Linked DNA regions of Arabidopsis thaliana. The protein of the gene in region 1 interacts with the protein of each later gene in a pairwise test. Each region holds a gene or a part of one and is shown on either strand. Other genes may lie near its edges. The genes, in order: NF-YA8, MYB11 and CRF9.

The links.
Region 2: the proteins of NF-YA8 (region 1) and MYB11 interact in a two-hybrid assay, tested with the Arabidopsis thaliana proteins (one large-scale study listed by BioGRID).
Region 3: the proteins of NF-YA8 (region 1) and CRF9 interact in a two-hybrid assay, tested with the Arabidopsis thaliana proteins (one large-scale study listed by BioGRID).

What each region holds. Positions count from the first base shown.
Region 1 is NC_003070.9:6,048,480-6,056,539, reverse strand, and holds NF-YA8 (nuclear factor Y, subunit A8), read left to right. Parts: upstream 1-3,911; 5' UTR 3,912-4,136; exon of another isoform or gene 4,137-4,487; 5' UTR 4,488-4,555; coding exon 4,556-4,838; intron 4,839-4,988; coding exon 4,989-5,089; intron 5,090-5,170; coding exon 5,171-5,245; intron 5,246-5,452; coding exon 5,453-5,608; intron 5,609-5,687; coding exon 5,688-6,059; 3' UTR 6,060-6,376; downstream 6,377-8,060. Other genes in the region: AT1G17600 (Disease resistance protein (TIR-NBS-LRR class) family), read left to right, coding at 1-431, 531-1,632, 1,733-2,035, 2,160-3,251, 3,326-3,514; MYA1 (myosin 1), read right to left, coding at 7,231-7,354, 7,455-7,537, 7,703-7,783, 7,862-7,975, 8,054-8,060. UniProt on the Arabidopsis thaliana protein: Stimulates the transcription of various genes by recognizing and binding to a CCAAT motif in promoters.
Region 2 is NC_003074.8:23,151,240-23,158,595, reverse strand, and holds MYB11 (myb domain protein 11), read right to left. Parts: upstream 3,967-7,356; 5' UTR 3,839-3,966; coding exon 3,706-3,838; intron 3,290-3,705; coding exon 3,160-3,289; coding exon of another isoform or gene 3,156-3,159; intron 2,994-3,155; coding exon 2,225-2,993; 3' UTR 2,011-2,224; downstream 1-2,010. Other genes in the region: AT3G62615 (uncharacterized protein), read left to right, coding at 2,742-2,774, 3,156-3,236; ATERDJ3B (DNAJ heat shock family protein), read left to right, coding at 5,250-5,320, 5,396-5,544, 5,640-5,775, 6,116-6,227, 6,483-6,599, 6,686-6,772, 6,912-6,971, 7,058-7,135 and 1 more. UniProt on the Arabidopsis thaliana protein: Modulates overall growth by reducing the proliferation activity of meristematic cells and delaying development. Flavonol-specific transcription activator involved in the regulation of several genes of flavonoid biosynthesis.
Region 3 is NC_003070.9:18,170,724-18,176,934, forward strand, and holds CRF9 (Integrase-type DNA-binding superfamily protein), read left to right. Parts: upstream 1-2,703; coding exon 2,704-3,693; downstream 3,694-6,211. Other genes in the region: AT1G49110 (uncharacterized protein), read left to right, coding at 990-1,523; BBX17 (B-box type zinc finger protein with CCT domain-containing protein), read right to left, coding at 4,018-4,197, 4,309-5,075, 5,180-5,213.

The DNA.
Region 1 (8,060 bases):
TACGACGTCTTCCTCAGCTTCCGTGGAGAAGACACCCGCAAAACCATCGTCAGTCATTTATATGCAGCACTTGATAGCAGAGGCATTGTTACTTTCAAAGATGACCAAAGGCTTGAGATAGGCGATCACATTTCCGATGAACTCCACAGAGCACTAGGGAGTTCGAGTTTCGCTGTTGTTGTTCTCTCCGAGAACTACGCTACTTCGAGATGGTGCTTATTGGAACTTCAACTGATAATGGAGCTTATGAAGGAGGGAAGACTTGAAGTCTTTCCCATCTTCTATGGAGTAGATCCTTCCGTGGTGAGGCATCAGCTAGGAAGTTTCTCTTTAGTAAAGTACCAAGGTCTTGAAATGGTGGATAAGGTTCTCAGGTGGAGAGAAGCTCTTAACCTAATCGCCAATCTTTCAGGCGTGGTTTCAAGCCACTGGTAAGCCTCGTTTTCTTGTTTACACACATTTATCACTTTGTTTAGCAGCACACTGGAAAGTTGAATTATAATTTTCCTGCTCAATTTCAATATTATTAGTGTTGATGAGGCTATAATGGTTGGAGAAATTGCTAGAGATATTTCAAGACGTGTGACATTGATGCATAAAATAGACTCTGGAAATATTGTTGGGATGAAAGCTCACATGGAAGGTCTTAATCATCTCTTGGATCAGGAATCCAATGAGGTTCTCCTGGTAGGAATCTGGGGAATGGGAGGAATTGGGAAAACCTCCATTGTTAAGTGTCTCTATGACCAGCTCTCACCTAAATTTCCAGCTCATTGTTTCATAGAAAACATTAAGAGTGTTAGTAAAGACAATGGCCATGATCTAAAGCATTTGCAAAAAGAATTGCTCTCCAGTATCCTCTGTGATGATATTAGGTTATGGAGCGTGGAAGCTGGATGCCAAGAGATAAAAAAGAGACTTGGGAATCAAAAGGTTTTTCTTGTGCTTGATGGTGTGGATAAAGTGGCGCAGGTGCATGCTTTGGCAAAAGAGAAAAACTGGTTTGGTCCTGGGAGCCGAATTATCATAACCACTCGAGATATGGGCTTGCTCAATACCTGTGGAGTAGAAGTCGTTTATGAGGTTAAGTGCTTGGATGATAAGGATGCCCTCCAGATGTTTAAACAGATTGCTTTTGAAGGAGGACTTCCTCCTTGTGAGGGTTTTGACCAACTCTCAATCCGAGCTTCTAAGCTTGCTCACGGGCTTCCTTCTGCCATTCAAGCCTATGCATTATTTCTCCGTGGAAGGACAGCGAGTCCTGAGGAGTGGGAAGAAGCACTGGGTGCACTTGAAAGCAGTCTTGACGAGAATATAATGGAAATCTTGAAAATTAGCTACGAGGGCTTACCAAAACCACATCAGAATGTATTCCTTCATGTTGTCTGTCTCTTCAATGGAGACACTCTCCAGCGAATCACTTCCCTTCTTCATGGCCCCATACCTCAGAGCAGCCTGTGGATAAGAGTTTTAGCAGAGAAATCTCTCATCAAAATATCAACTAATGGATCTGTTATCATGCACAAGTTGGTCGAACAAATGGGAAGAGAAATTATCCGCGACGACATGTCTTTGGCTCGAAAGTTCCTCAGGGATCCTATGGAAATTCGCGTTGCCCTGGCTTTCAGAGACGTAAGCATCTATATCATCTTTGATCTATTCTTTTAAATTTTCATGCATCCTGACCTGACGAGTTTCTGGCTTTGTGTTTCTTTTGTCTTCTTATCATCAGGGAGGAGAACAAACTGAATGCATGTGCCTACACACGTGTGATATGACCTGTGTGTTATCCATGGAGGCCAGTGTTGTTGGCCGTATGCATAATCTCAAGTTTCTCAAGGTTTACAAGCATGTAGATTACAGAGAGTCGAATCTGCAACTCATTCCAGACCAACCGTTCCTGCCTCGTAGCCTACGGCTATTCCATTGGGATGCATTTCCATTGAGAGCCCTGCCTTCCGGTTCTGATCCATGTTTTCTTGTTGAACTCAATCTGCGTCACAGTGATTTAGAAACTCTCTGGAGTGGAACACCGGTAATCTTTTCTATGATTCTGCATCTTGTGTTTGTGTTTTTGATAGAGCAATGGTGTGAAAACAGAGAATCCTTGCGAGAAACATAATTCCAACTATTTCCATGTGTTGTTGTATCTTGCTCAGATGTTGAAGAGTTTGAAGAGACTAGATGTGACGGGATCTAAGCATCTCAAGCAACTTCCAGATCTTTCAAGTATCACGAGTCTTGAGGAATTGCTTCTGGAACAATGCACGAGACTGGAGGGCATTCCAGAGTGTATTGGAAAAAGGTCTACCTTAAAGAAGCTTAAGCTATCCTACCGTGGAGGGCGTAGAAGTGCCCTGCGGTTTTTTCTACGAAAATCTACAAGGCAGCAACATATTGGATTGGAGTTCCCAGACGCAAAAGTGAAAATGGATGCACTTATAAACATATCGATTGGGGGAGACATTACTTTTGAGTTTCGTTCAAAATTTAGAGGATATGCTGAATACGTCTCTTTTAATTCTGAGCAACAGATACCCATTATATCGGCGATGAGTCTGCAACAAGCACCTTGGGTCATCTCAGAGTGCAACAGATTCAATTCCCTCCGCATCATGAGGTTCAGCCACAAAGAAAACGGTGAATCTTTCTCCTTTGACGTCTTTCCAGATTTTCCCGACCTGAAAGAGCTAAAACTAGTGAACTTAAACATCAGGAAAATCCCATCTGGGATTTGTCACCTGGATTTACTAGAGAAGCTGGACCTCAGCGGAAATGATTTTGAGAACTTACCAGAAGCTATGAGTAGCCTTTCCCGGTTAAAAACTCTCTGGCTTCAAAACTGCTTTAAGCTCCAGGAGTTGCCAAAGCTAACTCAGGTGCAGACACTTACACTTACCAACTGTAGGAACCTTAGATCATTGGCGAAACTATCTAACACAAGTCAAGATGAGGGAAGATACTGTTTGCTTGAGCTTTGCCTTGAAAATTGCAAGAGTGTTGAATCATTGTCAGATCAGCTTAGTCATTTCACCAAGTTGACATGTTTAGATCTCAGCAACCATGATTTTGAGACATTGCCATCAAGCATCAGAGATCTTACCTCATTGGTAACACTTTGCCTCAATAACTGCAAGAAACTCAAATCGGTGGAAAAACTTCCCTTGTCTCTCCAATTTCTCGATGCACACGGCTGTGATTCTCTCGAAGCTGGTTCTGCAGAACATTTTGAGGACATACCAAACAAGGAGGTGAATACTTGGCTCTTGATCCGTCTCTACTATGATTGATGTAGTTACCCTTTATCATCTCCCTTCTTTTATAGGCACATACACGAAATGACTACTTCCAAGAAACTGAGATGTCGAGTTATGTACTGAAAACTCAAGCCACAAGAAATCGCCAAACCATCCGCCTTCCCAAGATCACACATGCGGTTATGTATGTAGGCATCCCTATCTGCATCACGCTAGTGGCTGCTCTTGTGATTTTACTCCTGCGTGTTTTCAAGTGAAACTCAAGACTCAGCAACAGCTTCCTCAAGACTTAAACTGTGTGCTTTCTTCTGTAATTTACCAGGTAGTAACAAACTTACTACATTTCAAGTCTCCCTTGCTTCTGCTTCTCTCTCTCTTTTCCACTCGCATTTTGGAACTGAGTTCCACTATATCCAAAGAACGCTTCAAGATTTTGTCCATAAACACAAAGAGTAGGCAGATTAGCTTTGCTTTAGATGCTTCAGCTGCCATATAGTTGCTCACTAGATTAGGCTTTTGACGATAGTTTTACTTTGTAAAGTGGATAGGCAGATAACTAGATAAGTGTTTACTTTGTTAAGTGAACAAAATAATAAGTCAATAAGATTAGAAAACTAATATATTAATTAAGCATTAAAAATACTAATGAAGGTGGCGGTACTGCTAATAATGGAGCTGGTGATTTTGTTGGAAAGGTAATGACTTTATAAGAGAGAAAATTGTGAGTGACGGAAATGAAGCATCAAAAGAATACACACACACACATACACACTGTTGAGTATCTATCTGAGAGAATAAGCAAAAGAGAAAAGAGATTTACTTTGTTTTGATAGGCATCCCTTGAGTTCCTGTTCTTCATCTCTTCCTTGAATCCGTAAGGTCTCTCTATCTCCTTCTCTTTGAATCCGTCATTTCTTCGCTTTTTTTTAGAGTGATGTGCTGATTCGGAAATCTTCTGGAAATTTCTTCCCAAGTCAACGCCTTTTAGGACGAAAGTAATGGTGCTGATTTTAGTTGGTCGGAACTTTACTTTTTTTTCTGCCGCGCTCTTCTAATAGTTTGCCCGAAATAGTTCTGAATGTTGCTCTGTTTCTGGGTTTTTTTCCCTTTTTGGATTATCCCCTTCTTTGTCTACTACATCGTCAAAGGTTTTGCTGTTTCCAGGAATAAATATCTTTTGAAAGTTTTATCATTTATAAAGATGTTCTGAATTTGGAGCTTCTTTGACAGACACATGTATCATCAATCTTCTCTGTTGAAGCAGAGAGAGAGAGAGCTAATTGTTGCCTCTGAGTCACATGGATAAGAAAGTTTCATTTACTAGCTCTGTGGCACATTCAACTCCACCATACCTTAGTACTTCCATCTCATGGGGACTTCCAACCAAATCCAATGGTGTGACTGAATCACTGAGTTTGAAGGTGGTAGATGCAAGACCAGAACGTCTTATAAACACAAAGAATATCAGTTTCCAGGACCAGGATTCATCTTCAACTCTGTCCTCTGCTCAATCTTCTAACGATGTTACAAGTAGTGGAGATGATAACCCCTCAAGACAAATCTCATTTTTAGCACATTCAGGTCCGTTTTAAACAACTTTGGGTTCTAGACAACTCACTATGATCTATTATGTTGAAGACGCATGGTGTTTTAGCTTGATCTTTGGTCCCATTTACGAAAGAATCCATCCCTTTGTCCTGAAAATGTTATCTTTCGCTCTCTTTCTTTCAGATGTTTGTAAAGGATTTGAAGAAACTCAAAGGAAGCGATTTGCAATTAAATCAGGCTCCTCCACGGCAGGAATCGCTGATATTCACTCTTCTCCTTCCAAGGTACCCGTATATCTACTACGAGTGACGATAAGCAGTACTTGTGATTGTTTACTGACATCTTGTGTTATACTCTGGTTTCAGGCTAACTTCTCATTTCACTATGCCGATCCACATTTTGGTGGTTTAATGCCTGCGGCTTACCTACCACAGGCAACAGTAAGTATATCCTCCTTGATTACATATGGTGAGGAGAATATTTATGCTAAACCTCATTTTTACTTAAGGTGGACTTGTTATGTAACATTATGCTCTGAAGTAGTTACATATACAGCTATAGAAAGAAATGCCATCCTTAAATGGTGAATTAGTCTTGCAATTTATTTCTCCATTTGAGATTTCAGTTTGCTTAAAAACTTTCTGCAGATATGGAATCCCCAAATGACTCGAGTTCCGCTACCATTCGATCTCATAGAGAATGAGCCTGTCTTTGTCAATGCAAAGCAATTCCATGCAATTATGAGGAGGAGGCAACAGCGTGCTAAGCTAGAGGCGCAAAACAAACTAATCAAAGCCCGTAAGGTATAGTATTTTGGTCAGCGTTTCGGTATCTTACTTTGGTTTAATGACTAAACATAACTCATTATCAAATATCATACAGCCGTATCTTCATGAATCTCGACATGTTCACGCTCTTAAACGACCTAGAGGATCTGGTGGAAGATTCCTAAACACCAAAAAGCTTCAAGAATCTACAGATCCAAAACAAGACATGCCAATCCAACAGCAACACGCAACGGGAAACATGTCAAGATTTGTGCTTTATCAGTTGCAGAACAGCAATGACTGTGATTGTTCAACCACTTCTCGCTCTGACATCACATCTGCTTCTGACAGCGTTAATCTCTTTGGACACTCTGAATTTCTGATATCAGATTGCCCATCTCAGACAAACCCAACAATGTATGTTCATGGTCAATCAAATGACATGCATGGAGGTAGGAACACACACCATTTCTCTGTCCATATCTGAGCCGGTGGAATCTGGTAATGTGTACGTTCCTACAAAAAAAGGGAAGTCATCCTTGGCTGCTACTTCGCTTATTAGCTAGTTCTTATTTCACACGCTTTGTCCAGATATCATTTGAATGACCAAAAACCTTCAAGCTTCAACTCTTTACTTTTCGTCTGTCGTTTGTACCATGGATCATCGTGTGTTAAGTCAGTGATTGGATTGGAGTGATGAATGTAAATGTAAATCTGATAACCGATAAGTCTCTGCTCTTTGCTTATTCATAGTTAGTAAAGCTAAACCAGATTCATACACTCCATTCCGGTGTTGTTTATATCATATATCATAGTCATAGAACACATTGACTAGAAGCGCAGCTTGGTCCCAATCCTCTGTAACAAGCCGTCCAACCACCTTCCCCGACCAAGTTTCTAACCGTCTGTAGATAGTCAGACTGCAGTTCCTATCGTTACTACTACTACTATTACTATCTTCCACATTTAGAACCTGCAGTCTAGTCTTTAATTATGTCACTGTAATCAAAGCGGAGACACTACCAGCAATGGCGGCAGTAACACCTTGAACAAATGTTCCCTAAACGCTTTTCTGTCTGAGTACCCCCGAGTTACAATCACTAGCAGTGTATTTATACACAAAGGGAATATCTCTTAACACAGATATGTTTCCAAAAACATACAAACATAACTAAAGACTAGACTGTAAAGGATGACGGGAAATTGCAATGTTTCTTTTGCAACACGTTTTCACCACGTGTCGATGTTGTTGACACATTAACTAACGCAAGAGTTATCCTTCTTTTGATCTTTTCCTTGATGTAATACTTTGGGCTTCAATTTTGGGCTTCAACTTTGGCCTTGTAAACTTGTTTGGATCAGTCAATAAAGAACAATAGTGACAAAAAAAAAAACTAATAATTTGAAAAATGATAAACAAAGTAAAATTCATTAAGCAAATGGCCTATCAACGCATGGACACAACAAATATTTAGTTCACATATATATATTTTTTCCTACCCAATATACCCCTATTAATAGTAGAACAGTACCAGAAAGCCACTGGCAAAGATAGGCATATGTACTAATGTACAGGCTTTGTTTTTGAAAGCACAATACTGATCTCCTAATCTGAAAATGTCCTAGCGATCGATCGGGTATAGGGAACTTTGACTACTTCAATCTGACCTTTCCAACAAGAACATGAAGTTGGAGTTTTGGCGGATCAACGGAGGAGGATCAACCTCTGCAACCTCTACGTTTTGCATCGATTTGGAGATATCGTCAAGCGAGAATGGGATGCTGCAAAAAGCAATCAAACCAAGACACATAATTTTTTTTATCAAAATATCAATCTTCTAAAAAGTGATTTGTTTTGTTAATGTTTCTTTCAAGGGTTTACCTCGAATCGTCGTCTAGTAAAAATGAATTGCTGATCGCGCTCTTTGATACATCTGACACCTCTGCCCGCATGGTTGCTATCACCTGCATCACCATTCTTGTGTCAAGCGAGGAACATTTTTATTTCAATTCTAGGTAATGTTGGATTTTCTTAAAACATAGCTCAGGATAAGACTAATGTTAACGGTTTGGTCGAGTGGGTCCATCAATCACACGAATGTGAAAGCAAGAGTAGAAATATTCACTTGCCTCTGTAGATACGCTATGTGTACCGTATTTGTCGTCCCAATACATTGTACTGATCCTATACAGTTGCTGAATGCTAAGCACCTGCAGAGAAATACAAAATTTCGTTAGATTTACATGAGACGAACAAATGAAGAGACAAATTCAAAACGTTGAACTAACCGGACAAAGTTCAGTAGTTATCTCTTTTAAGCTCTTCTTAGGCTTCTGATGTATAACCAAGAAGCCAACAGCTTGTCTAATGTGCTTTAGTTCATCCCAAGCCGAACCAACAAACTAGAACACAACAAAAAAAGCATCTTCTAATAAGCTAACTGTCCGAAAACTCCAGAGAGGATTTGAAACATCTATTACCTCCTCC
Region 2 (7,356 bases), on another chromosome or scaffold:
TTAAGTGTTTTTTGGTTCTTTAAACTTGTGGTTATGTATTTTGGTTCTTAAACTTATGGTTAAAGTGTTTTGCTTCTTAAACTTGTAGATAAAGTTTTGAAAATTTGTGATTATGTGTTTAAGTGTTATGGTTAAAATTTGGTTACAACAAATATATAGCAAAGAGTTCGAACATAAAAGAACATTTGAGTGTATGAACATAAAACTTCCATCACAATAACGTGAAGAGAACTCTAAATCATTAGTTGTTTATCAAGAAACAAAGCTTAATACACACGATTTAAGGTTCACTCTTAGAGGAATTTCATCAAACACGTACTAGACATCAATTCTATTTTACAATTCCACTCAAATAGAAACTTTATTAAAAGCCAAACCTAAGCTAACCTCAATGCAATGAACCAAATCCCATTTCTTGTTCAAAGTGTCAATCCAACCATGATCAAGAACCATAGAGTTACCATAAGTAATCTCAGTTACCTCGGCATCAAAACAGAGACTGCATCGGAAATGACCATTTGTCTGAATGATTCATTGGTTGACGGAGCAAGCATAAACAAATAGTTACCATAGCCTGCATTTTAGAGGGCTCAAATGAGACTAGTATGGCTTCACATTTACTCCATAGATAAGTTAAAGGAAAAAAAACAGAGTGATCAGTAAAAGGAAAACAGACCCGTGGACTTGAAAATTCCTTTGGGGTCGACCTCTGTCATAGCTCGAGCAGAGGCTTCAGCCCCATCTAGAACTTCCGATAATGTTCACCTTTACAACAACATTCATCTTGTTACCCTTTATACTTCCTCTGTGAACCTAAGAAAGCAAATAAATGATATTGTCTTAGTATAAACATAACCAGAGTTTGACAATGTTGCTACAATTCCACGTCAAGAGATAATAATTCTACGGCAAGAGTAGCTAATTCTAGAAAGCATTATGACCAGATTATCTTCCTCAATTACAACATAAATATACAGCTTCATTATGGGTCCATCACCAAGACCTTCTGCTTTACAAGCTCCTAAATACTCTAACTCAATCATGTTTACTTAATTGTTAAGTTTCCACCATAATCTATAATACCTGAGCAATAGAAGCATAACCAAGAGGCTTTTCATCAAATTTTCAAAGTTGAATCGCATCAAACGGCGTCGCAGGAGCTTGATCACACGAAATTACAAGCTTTTAAAACCACGAAGCTCGAACCCAGAATTGAAAAGAGTGTTGCCATAGACGAAAGCTATCGGAGATCTTTTCCTGAATATCTTTGAAATCGAAACCCACGCATTTTTATTTTCTTTTGGTGAACAAATTGGTTTCAGTTTGTGTATCTTGATTTCAGTTTCAAAGAAAAGATATCAAATGCGAAAAGTTTTCAGAAGAAACGATGATTGGGCTTTGCATCTTTTGGTCAATTTCGTTTGGGCAGAGAGGAGAAAGAAGATAGAACAGAACGCGCACACATTTATTTTTTTGTTGAAATTGAAAACCCAATCACATGTTGCCACATCGACGGTTCTCTCAAATTCTCAAAACTCTCTCCAGAAAGCCGACTCTCTTGATTTTTATCAGTTTTAATTTATTTTTATTGTCATTAAACAAGAGAGCCCAACAATTTTTTGATTACATCCTCTCGTTGGAGATGGTCTTATAGCTTTTAATCAAAATTCAAAACGTTCATTAATTACCACTTTACCAGTGAACATTTACACACAAAAAAGAGTTGTGGTTGGCGACATGCTTTGAAATTTGCTCGGGTTTTGGTCTATTATTAGTCTATCAGAGAAACTTGTTTCTTTGAAATACTTCCACCTAGAATGCAACTAGCAAGTGTTGGACTATGTACCAATAGTGAGAATTGCTGATTCACAATATGGAACTGAATTTTATTTATATTTTTTTTGTATTTTAAATTTCTTATTATATTTGTATACATATATACGAAAGTCGAAAGATTACTTAAGTTGGCTATCAATGGTGTAATCATCAATGGATCGCTTATATGTAATTGAACTAAGAAGATCGACTTTATTTTGTTTATTTGCCACCGCCAAAATCGTATTTACACATGAAAAGAAATAAAAAAGAATATAAATACATTTAAAACTAAAAAACGAACGCTAGGGGACAAACATGTTCTATTGACAAACCGACCAGATCCTGCCACGTGGGGTCTTTGCTAAAATCTAACGGAGAAAAAGGCATATGCATGGTGTCAAATCTTTCAAGACAAAAGCCAAGCAGCCATCTTGTTTTCTTCGTCAATATCCAACGGTTCTCCAAAGTCGTTGGAGTCCCTTTGTCTGATCTCAGATTCCATTTCCTCTCCATCTAACAGCCTCGACAAAACCGAATCAAGATCCTCTTTTTCGTCCCAAAGGGTTTGACCTTCTCTCCATACAAAGTCCCAGTCAACGAAATCATCAGCCATCGTTTCGATATTTTTGTGCCCAACTGACATCCCTCCATATGGCTCAGAGTTTTTTACGTTGTTCGACTCACATGAGGACACGTGGACAGCATGAGAGTCGTCCAATAGAAAACAAGAATCGAAAATGTCGTCATTGAGACACAAAGCTCCATCGTCGCCATTAATGCTTGGGTTACAATCGCCATCGTCTCCATAACCACATGGTCCTAAACCGGGTTCCTCTGCTCCACTTAAGCTACTACTTGACAACACCATTAATGCGTCTTCTTTGTCTCCCTCTCCATTCTCTATTGTCGTAGTTGGCAAAACGATGTCACTTTTGTTTGCTTTAAAAGAATTAGGGGTTTTGTGGTTTTTAGGGTTTAGGATAAATTTGGGTTTCATGGCGGATCTGCTGGTTCTTCCAGGTCTACGCTTAGGAGGCGGAGGCGCATTCTCGACGGTATTGGCGACAGTTGGTTTTCTGAAGTAACCGTGGAGTTTACGGCTGAGATGAGAATTCCAATAGTTTTTTATTTCGTTGTCTGTTCTTCCCGGTAGATTGCTCGCAATTGTTGACCACCTGCAATTTAATTAGCGTTGACGCTATTCTTATTTTTTGTTGTAAAAACGTTTTTTTTCACGACGTTACACAGCAACAGTTTGATTTATGATTTCACGTGATAGTGTACTTTTTCTATTGGAAATATATCGACATTAATAAACTTTTGTTCAAATGAAAAAGTTACCTGGTTCCCAAAGTGGAATGCAGTTTAACAATGACGTCCTCTTCTTCGGGAGTTATGTTTCCTCTCTTGATGTCTGATCTCAAATAGTTTATCCATCTCAATCTACAGCTCTTTCCACATCTCTTTAGCCCTTTTTAAAATGTACGTCAGATTTTAATTAAGGCATAATAATGCCTGCAGCGATTACTCATCTTTTCCTAAATATTGAAATAAATTATCGTTTTATTTGTGATGTTACAGTCCATATATACATGTAAATAAAACAAGAAGGCAATTTGGTCTGAATTATCAATAAACACTTTATGTACTTTAAAATATTATGCATTCCTTATAGAAACTGATACATTAAATAGAAAAAAAAAAAATCAAGTCTCTATTTTAATTTTTTTTACAACTCATGGTGTATAATTGAACCGTACGTAAGATTAATTAACTTCTCGATGCATATAGATTCTCTTATAAATTTTGACCAAACAAAAAAACTATCTTATGAGATGCATGCGATAGTCGAGAGACAGAGTACTGTATAGATAAAAAAAACTTTACCGGCATTTTTGGGAAGAGAACGCCATGATCCTTCGCCGTTGGACTGAATGTAGTCGGAGAGAGTCCGGTCTTCCTCCGCCGTCCAGCGCCCCTTCTTAATTCCTACCTTCTCACAGCACGGCGCCCTTCCCATTCTCTCGGCCGGCGATTATTAAAAATCACTCACTTCACTTGTTCCTAAAGTCAATCACTAGAGAAAGAGATTATTTAAAGAGAAGTAAAGTGACGACACAACAAAAAGTGATTGGTTTAGTATTAAATATTTATAGGAGTGACATGCAAGAATAGAGAGGAGTGGGTTATATATTCAGGTGATAGAACGAGCCACGTTTGTCTATGTTGAAACAAAAGTCGTAGGCGCTCATCATAGGTCGAGAGCTACTAACCAGCTGTCCAGCTGGGTCGTCCTAGTGTCTCTAATTAGATGCTAACTATAGTTTTTAAATACTAGTTATACATTTTTTTTTTTTTTAAATACTAGTTATACATTTATTATTTCTGACTTGTTTCTAATCATACTGCTCAATTCGGATTCAGTTAATCATCTAACAATTAATAAAATCATAAGCGTAATACTTTCTCAATATTTTACTTCGTATCGTGGAAAATATGTAAACACCAATTTTATTTAGTTTACTATTGTCAGCAACGTTTCTTTATTTTTCAATGGACAGTAAAATGGTATTAGTGGGGGATCGGGACCACTCGTGTGAGATGTCTAGTTATTATTGTATGTCTAGTAAATAATGTTTCGTCGAAGATGCGAAGAATCAAGAGACCTGACATATGACATGATTGTCCAAACCAGTCTATGTTTCTTTGCATGTAATTAATAAGCAACAAAATATGTATTTATTACTTAACCACCTTTTTTTGTTTTATACTCCAGTAGTGTTTAACCAATGCACAACGTAATGTGTGACTAAGATAGTCTAGATTATATAAAGATTAAAGAAATAAATTTTCTCATAGCAGCGGTTTTGTCATTATATTAACAAGTTTAATATGGTAGGTACAAAATCCATAATGCATAAATATGCAAAACTAGTTTGGATCTGGCCTCCCCAGATCGGTTTACATAAAACAATCTCGATTTTGTATGGGCCCAGTAACCTAGGGTTTTTAATCGGGTTAGGCCACATTTATTGAATAACAATCGTAGGGGAGTTACAGGCCCGCTTCATTATTAATGCGCCTTGTATAGATTATATGAGTATAACGACGTCGTACTCATTAAAGTCGACGAAAAGAACAGTCAGCGATTCGACGTTGGTTTATCCACGTGGCTAATATTTATTGGTTACGATCGTCAGAGACTTAATCCTGATTGGTTAAGCATTGCAGTGTACACGTAACCCGACCACGAGGCTCGAGTTTTGGAATCGTTTCCACGAAAACAAGTAGAGAGAGTGATTCGAGTTTTCCAATCATAAAAATCAGCGAAGAAGATCTTCGTTCTTGTTCATTCTGTGAGGTTTCATTGTTAAAATCGAAACGAATCTCAGGTTGGAGTAATCCTTGGGAGAGATCCGATTTCCGTTTCCATGGCGATTCGGTGGTCGGAGCTGTGTATCGTACTGTTCGCTCTTTCCTACGCCATCTGCGTCCTTGCCGGGTAAGAACATCTTTCGATTCCTTCAGAAATGTGTGGAAAATGTGAATGCTTAGAAAATCTGTGTTGTGGATTTAGGAAGAGTTACTACGATGTGTTGCAAGTCCCGAAAGGTGCATCTGATGAACAGATCAAGAGAGCTTATAGGAAACTAGCTTTGAAGTATCATCCCGATAAGAATCAAGGAAATGAGGAAGCGACTCGCAAATTCGCTGAGATCAACAATGGTATTTTCGTTTTGCAACTTGTGTGATTCTGCTCTCTTTGTTAACTCACCCGTTTTTAGTTTTGAGAATTGACGTATTGGTGTTTGATGTAATAGCTTATGAAGTGTTATCGGATGAGGAGAAGAGGGAGATATATAACAAGTATGGTGAAGAGGGACTTAAACAGTTTTCTGCAAATGGAGGAAGAGGAGGAGGAGGAGGCGGCATGAATATGCAGGACATCTTCAGCTCGTAAGTTTTCTGCAAATGGTAACTCTTTAGGATCCAACTAGAGGTACAAGATACAGGGTCACTAGGATCTGTCTGATCTTCTATCCTGTTGAACCCATCTTAACATAGAATTCGTGTGAGTTTTATTTATTGATAGTGGATACAATTGAATTTGGTAATGTTAAGGGACTTTACTCTGTAGCGTGAATAGTTCCTAAATTTGGATAACGTTTTACATTTGTGTTTAAAGAAGGGACTTTACTCTGTAGCGTGAATAGTTCCTAAATTTGGATAATGTTTTACATTTGTGTTTAAAGGGTGCAGATTGCTAATTTGCAGAGATTATTGATGTGTTTAATAGGTTTTTTGGTGGAGGTTCGATGGAGGAAGAAGAGAAGGTTGTCAAGGGGGATGACGTAATTGTGGAACTTGAGGCAACTCTAGAAGATTTGTACATGGGAGGCTCTATGAAGGTATGTTAAGCTCCGTGTCAGGATGTTATTGTCATCACTAATACATGTTACTCATCTGGGAAATGTTACTTTGATCCAAATGTACTAGAATCAATAGAAATTTGTAAACTAGATTTCATAGTGTCATTCAGACATTCTTTAGGTTCAGTTCAGGCGATGTTTTGGTTAGAGTAGACAGTTTTTTTTTTTACATTAATGCAAATAAAAGAAATTGCATTAAGTTCTCAGTGAGAATGTTCCACATTGAACTATCAGGTATGGAGGGAAAAGAATGTGATAAAACCAGCTCCTGGAAAGAGAAAGTGTAACTGCAGGAACGAGGTCTATCACAGACAAATTGGTCCTGGAATGTTCCAACAGATGACAGAGCAGGTAAAGGACGGATATGTTCAATTGTCACAGATGGTCTTGTTCCAACCTAATTACTGTTTAACGACGTATCCTCTTCTTCCCCTCAGGTCTGTGACAAATGCCCTAATGTCAAATACGAACGGGAGGGATACTTTGTGACAGTTGATATCGAGAAAGGAATGAAAGATGGAGAAGTAAGTATCGAACTTCTACTACCCTCATTGTAAAATCAATCGAAACTACGTTTCATAGTAGCTCTTTAATTCATTTTGATTTATTTATGAGCTTATCGATTTTTCCGATCTTAGTTTCTAAATACCAAATACTTTTCAGGAAGTGTCTTTCTATGAAGACGGCGAACCCATTCTTGACGGTGACCCTGGTGACCTTAAGGTTAGCCTCTTCCCTAAATTTCACTATCCTTGACTTCACTAAACATCAAAATCAGAGAGAATAAACCATTGTTGTACATTTCGCAGTTCCGAATCAGAACTGCACCACATGCCCGTTTCAGAAGGGATGGCAACGATCTACACATGAACGTGAACATTACACTGGTAAATAAATTCAACAAACTACTCTTATATCAGTATCTCTACATCATAGACCAACAATTGATTCATTTTTCTGATTCCACCAAATCTCTTTTCTTCAGGTTGAGGCGCTAGTTGGTTTTGAGAAATCATTCAAACACTTGGATGATCACGAAGTTGACATCAGTTCCAAGGTAACACTAATATCTTTCCCCATACACGCAAAACACTTGAAACAATGACCA
Region 3 (6,211 bases), about 12 Mb from region 1:
TATAGAATGTTATTTTGAGACGTGTATCCAACTCTAATGATTCTGATTTTTTTTATGAAAAAGAAGGTTGAAAACCACCCAATTTTCAAAAAAAAATTTTAAAAAAGAGAAGTTAGAAAAAAGATGATGATAGTTCACTTGTTCCAACTAGAGAGGCAATCTCCCAAATGGAGATCAAGATCTATGGATGCGGTGTTTGGTTACACGGCAAGAATACTCCATTTAGACTCTAACCACACTGGTCAGACGTATTAGAAAATATGCAATCCTTGAACAACGTTTAAAAAAATAATTGAATTAATGCTAACATTTGATTTAGTTCTATAAAAACAGAGGAATTTTCACACATGCAGTTTAAAATTCCTATATGATAACAATTAAATGTATCTTTTACTTGCAATATACAATATTTTATTTCATGATTTGGTTTTCGTCTAGGAAGTTTTAAAACAAAAACAACATACTATTAATTAATCTCTAATATATTATGTAACATATTAACGACACTATGACAAAGCCCTACAAGCCAGGTTTGCATCGTGTGGCTAATGAATCTCTTTCAGAAGTCAGCTACACTCAAAAATCTGTTTTTATTTCAAATGCTATGCTAAATTATAAAAACAGCTTATATATATACAAAAAGCTATATTTTTTTTAATACAATTTAGTAACATTTTATTTTTAAAATATACTACAGAATTATATTTAATCCATAAATAACTTAAGTCTAAACTACTCGGTTCTTTCGTTTTCTTTATGGGAAAATGAAACAGCGTGCTTCTTATCCCTCTTGGGAAAATGAAGCAGCGTACTTATTAAGGCAGCAACTGAATAGTCTACTTTTTTCACACACTCGCCTCAATTCAGTGTCATTATATAATTTAGTATCTTCCCATATACGCGATAGCGTGTTAGCCAAGGCAAACTCACTAGGGATTTGTCCTCTAAGCCACGAGATGAATCTCCGTCAAATCTACGAAGTTTAATGGATGAAAACAAAAGCCGGTATTGAAGCCGTTGTGGAAGTGCAACGCAGCGAGAAGCTAAAGAGGCGAGCGACATCAAAAGGTAGGACGGCTGCTGAATCGGCTATGATAAGAGCGTTTAACGCTCAATTTGCTGAGTATAGCTCTGAACTAAAGATAGCTCGTGCGGTCATGAAGAAAGAAAGTGATACTGGTGTTCGTCTCCGAGACAAGTACTGGCCAGTTTCTGCATTCGGTGTAGCCATCAATGTTTTGCACGAAGAGGCAGTTCTTGATTTTTGTAGGAAAGAGGGAGTGAAATGCGGTTTGTACAAGTATGTTGAAGGACTGATTGAACGCAAGACGGTGAGTTTTGCTTTACGCGAAGCCGATAATCTTCGGGCTGTTCTCAAGGAAATGGAAAGGTTTGAAGTTCCGGTTTCGTCTATGGATGGAAATTGTCTTGTTGATAATAAGAGGAAAGATATTGGATCTGTTCTTGGTCATGGTGGAGAAACATCATCTAAGAAGAAGAGACGTCTTACTCGTAAGAAGTAGATTTGACTCATTAACTCGTTAATGGGGAAATGTGAAAATGTTAATGGGAAAATGTATAACTCATTAATACTACTCATTATGCTTTTTATTTTGTTTTGTTTCTTTAGTCTTTCTTTTTGTAACGTTTTTGCGTTTTGTTTTTTCTTTTTGTTGTACGGTCTTTTTAAAAGTTTAATCTACTGTTTAAAACAAAAATTTTATGTTTATCGACACACTCAAACTGGAAGGTCTCAACTTAATCGGATCATGTTTATCAAGTTTTGAAATTTCATTTTATACATATAAGATGATAAATATATATACTATGATGTAGTGACTTAAAAAATAATCTAATGATTTGAAAATTAAACTCGTTAATATAACAAAAAAAAAAATCACTACTAGTTTTGATAGAATAAGTGTATTATTTTCTCAGGTTGCTTTTGAATGTTTCTTATGTATCATGTAAACTTTAACTATATAATAAAATCGATTTGCCGTTAAAAAAAAAAAAGTGTGTTATTTTCTCAAAATCATAAGTTGAGGGTTGAGATTAACCTATGAGATTCTGGATAGTCCCAATTTTACGTGTTCTCCGTACTTAGATGGTTGATTTCTCCATCGAAAATAAAAAACTTTTTATTTAATCATTAATGTGTAGTCTACAAATTATTCTCCGAGAAATACAAAAAAATAAAAATTAGAGTGTGATATCAATTGAAGTTTTAGGACCAAAGAAAAAAAGAACTATAATATATCATCAGAGAATTCCCAATTTTCCATTTTTTCCTACTAAAATATTAACTTTCTTTTTCTATCACAAAAAAAAAAAAATGGTAAATTTAGATATGGTAGTTACCGATATCCTCGTTAATATTTACTACAGATTTTACTTTTATGATTATATCTAAACAAAAATTAAAAAGGAAAACAAAACAATTCTCATAAACTATTAATAACGTCTTCTATGTTTCGTCTTCCTTAGCTTTGCCATAAGCTCCTTGAATTTTATTTTTGACACACTCTCCATAACAAGGTACGATGATGAATCTTAACTATGTTTTCTGTTCAAGTTTTTCTCCCATGTTTAGGTTTTTAATCTCTATCTCTATCACCAACTCAAAACACTACATTGTTTTTTTTTTGGTTTTTATTGTAAGATTCTGTTACTTAGTACCGGAGTTTAGTCGGAGAGAGAACAATGATCAGTTTCAGAGAAGAGAACATCGATCTCAACTTGATTAAAACAATTAGTGTAATCTGTAATGATCCAGACGCCACCGATTCCTCTAGCGACGATGAATCTATCTCCGGCAATAATCCTCGCCGTCAGATCAAACCAAAACCACCGAAACGTTACGTCTCAAAGATCTGTGTCCCGACGCTGATCAAAAGGTATGAGAACGTTTCGAATTCTACAGGGAATAAAGCAGCCGGAAACCGGAAAACGTCGTCGGGTTTCAAAGGCGTACGACGGAGGCCGTGGGGGAAATTTGCGGCGGAGATAAGAAATCCGTTTGAGAAGAAGAGAAAGTGGCTTGGAACGTTTCCTACTGAAGAAGAAGCAGCAGAAGCTTACCAAAAGAGTAAAAGAGAGTTTGATGAACGATTGGGTTTAGTTAAACAGGAAAAAGACCTAGTAGATTTGACCAAGCCGTGCGGTGTACGTAAACCAGAAGAGAAGGAAGTTACTGAGAAGTCGAATTGCAAAAAGGTAAATAAGAGAATTGTTACTGATCAGAAGCCATTTGGTTGTGGTTATAACGCTGATCATGAAGAAGAGGGAGTGATTAGTAAAATGTTGGAAGATCCGTTGATGACATCGTCAATTGCTGATATTTTTGGTGATTCGGCTGTTGAAGCAAATGATATTTGGGTGGATTACAATTCAGTGGAATTTATTTCCATTGTAGATGATTTCAAGTTTGATTTTGTGGAGAATGATAGAGTAGGAAAGGAGAAAACATTTGGATTTAAGATTGGGGATCACACTAAAGTTAATCAACATGCCAAAATCGTATCGACCAATGGGGACTTATTCGTCGATGATTTACTTGATTTTGATCCGTTGATAGATGATTTTAAGTTAGAAGATTTTCCTATGGATGATCTTGGATTATTAGGAGATCCAGAGGATGATGATTTTAGTTGGTTTAATGGTACTACTGATTGGATCGATAAGTTTTTATGAATACTTTCTTGACACGGCCAACGGTATTAGTACAAAACTACAAATCTTTGAGTTACAAGTTGTTTGTAATTCGTTTTGGTTTTTGTAACTAACTGCTTATATAAAGAGATTTACCTCATAAGAGAAGCTTTTACTAGTATGAAATTTAAATTCTCAAATTGATTTAAGAATAAAGTTGTAACCATGTCATTGTAGGGATAAATTCAAAAGCTACGAAATATGTTCCACATGAGCTTTTTTGTTCTTTTGATTAGCTTCTGGTTTCTTTGGAGTAGCCTTTTTTTTATTTGGCACAAAGGAGAAGAAACTGAGAGAATCTGTTCCCTAAGAGTCGATGGCTAAAGATCGTCGGACAAATCGACCTTTCATTCTCGGCCTTTTGTCGGCGTTAACCTTTCTAACCTCGTACCTTATCTTCTTCTCGAACAAACGATTCTTCCTTTTATCTCTGTATCTCCAAACTCTAGCTTCTCTCTCACTTCTTACTCTCTTCTCCTCTATCCCCTGCAATCAACAACCATTACAATAAGTTTCTTTGATAGATTGGGTTCAATTTTCTCAATTTGAAACAATATAATATCATTTTTGTAAGAACTCGGAAGATTAGGCGCTTACTGGAGGAACTAGCTGGAAGCTACTTGTGTTGTTTTTTACATCTCTAGGAGATTCTTGTTTATCCCAAGCTGCTATAACATTTTCGTAATTCAGTCTATGCCTTGCATTATTCTCATAACAATCTTCAATTTCTTCTGTCTTTTCTGAAACCGTTATGACATTGTCGTAATCTTTCTTGCAGCTCATCAAATATTGTCCAGGACATGCTTCAGCTCCATCAGTTTTATCTTCTTCTTCTCCATTGTAATATAGATCCTCCATTGTGTCAGCTTCTTCTTCAAAGTTGAATTGTTTCGTTGTTTCTTCAGTACCATTGTGGTTGCTCAAGAAGAATCCCATCTCTGTGAATCCCTCAAACTCTGGCACAAGAGAAGTCATATCATCATCATTTGCTTCTGGTATGAAAAACATCACTTCGCCTCCAATCTCGGGAACACGAGGATCTTCCCTTCTTCTCTCATCATCTATCTTTTGTTGTGGCTTTTTCTCATACCGAGATCTAGGAGTTCTTGCTTTTCTTCGAAACCCGCTGTGCCAAACCGAGGTTAATGTTGTTCCCCCACGCACATCATTCGATATCTCGTTTGTTCTAAGACAAACTCTCTCGTGTTTTGTCGCTACATGGTTTGCAGAATGCACTGATTCATCACAAACATGGCACAAGAAAGCATCATCGGAGGCACAGTACCAAACTGCGTGTTTGTTCAGACAAAGTTCGCAAGCTCGTGGCTGCTTGACATCTTCTTGGTACTTTGAAATCATAATTTCTGCGCAAAACATGAAAACAGAGATATGAGAAGAAATCAAAGTAGAAGAAGAAACTGGCACAAAAGGAGGTTTATCAGGAAACAGTAGAGTAATGGTTATATACTTTCTGAAATTTTGATATTTTGGTGACTTGTCATGGGCTAAGAACAAGAAAGATCTTAAAGTGAGAAAAAGGGGACAATGAAGAAGACAAGGGCTAAGAGGGATGGAGAATAATGGGCACTGACAAAGGAGCCTGCTTAGGTAGGTATATAATAATCTTTTTCGTTGGGATCAGACAAAGACATTTTCCTTTAGAATCTAGAAGATTTTTTCACTGACACTTCTTTCTTATGTCAGTAGGGACTAGAAATGACTTTTTAGCTCAAGTTTCCTTGAGTCTTGTTCTATACATGTTTAATATTCTTGAATCTTAACATTAAGGGTTAGTGAACATACTTATATAGAGTAGATTAGTCTTAAGAAAAGGTAGTAAAATTTGAGATGAGTAAACACTTGGTGTATTATTGAAGTTTGGCCATACCCATTTTTGGTTGGGTTGTACAAGGAAAAAAGACACTGTAGTGATGATTTGGCATCATGTACCGAAGTTGATCCATATCTTTGCGATCTTATTGGTTAGACTTGGATTATGTTTTTGGGTCTTTTATGGCTTCTTTTCCTTACCCATCTCTAAGTTTTATCTTTTTGTTTGTTAGTCTTTTGTTTTCTGACTCATTTTGTCTGTGGTCCTTACCTGTCTTTGTCACCATTTAACATATGGTAATAGACTCCGTAGATGTTTGAACTACTACTTAAAGGTTAATAAAAATTTCATGAACTATTTCAGAAATGAATCCATTTAGACAACACTAAAGAAGTAAAGATGTTCCTACAGTTTTGAAATAAAGGGAAAGTATGATGTTTTTAGAGTTAACTCTTTCTTAGTTTTATCAGATAAAGTCTTAAAAACATATACTAAGTTGCAAGCATGCAAAAAGGTACTTGGGAATTTCATTATTTCGACAAACAGGGACGCAATGTACAACAAGCCAAAAATATATATAAATCATTTGAAAAACGAAGCTGAGCTTAACCAATTGGAACTCCCAAGTCCAATTAGTAATATATGTTTTACGAAACAGAAAAGCATAAA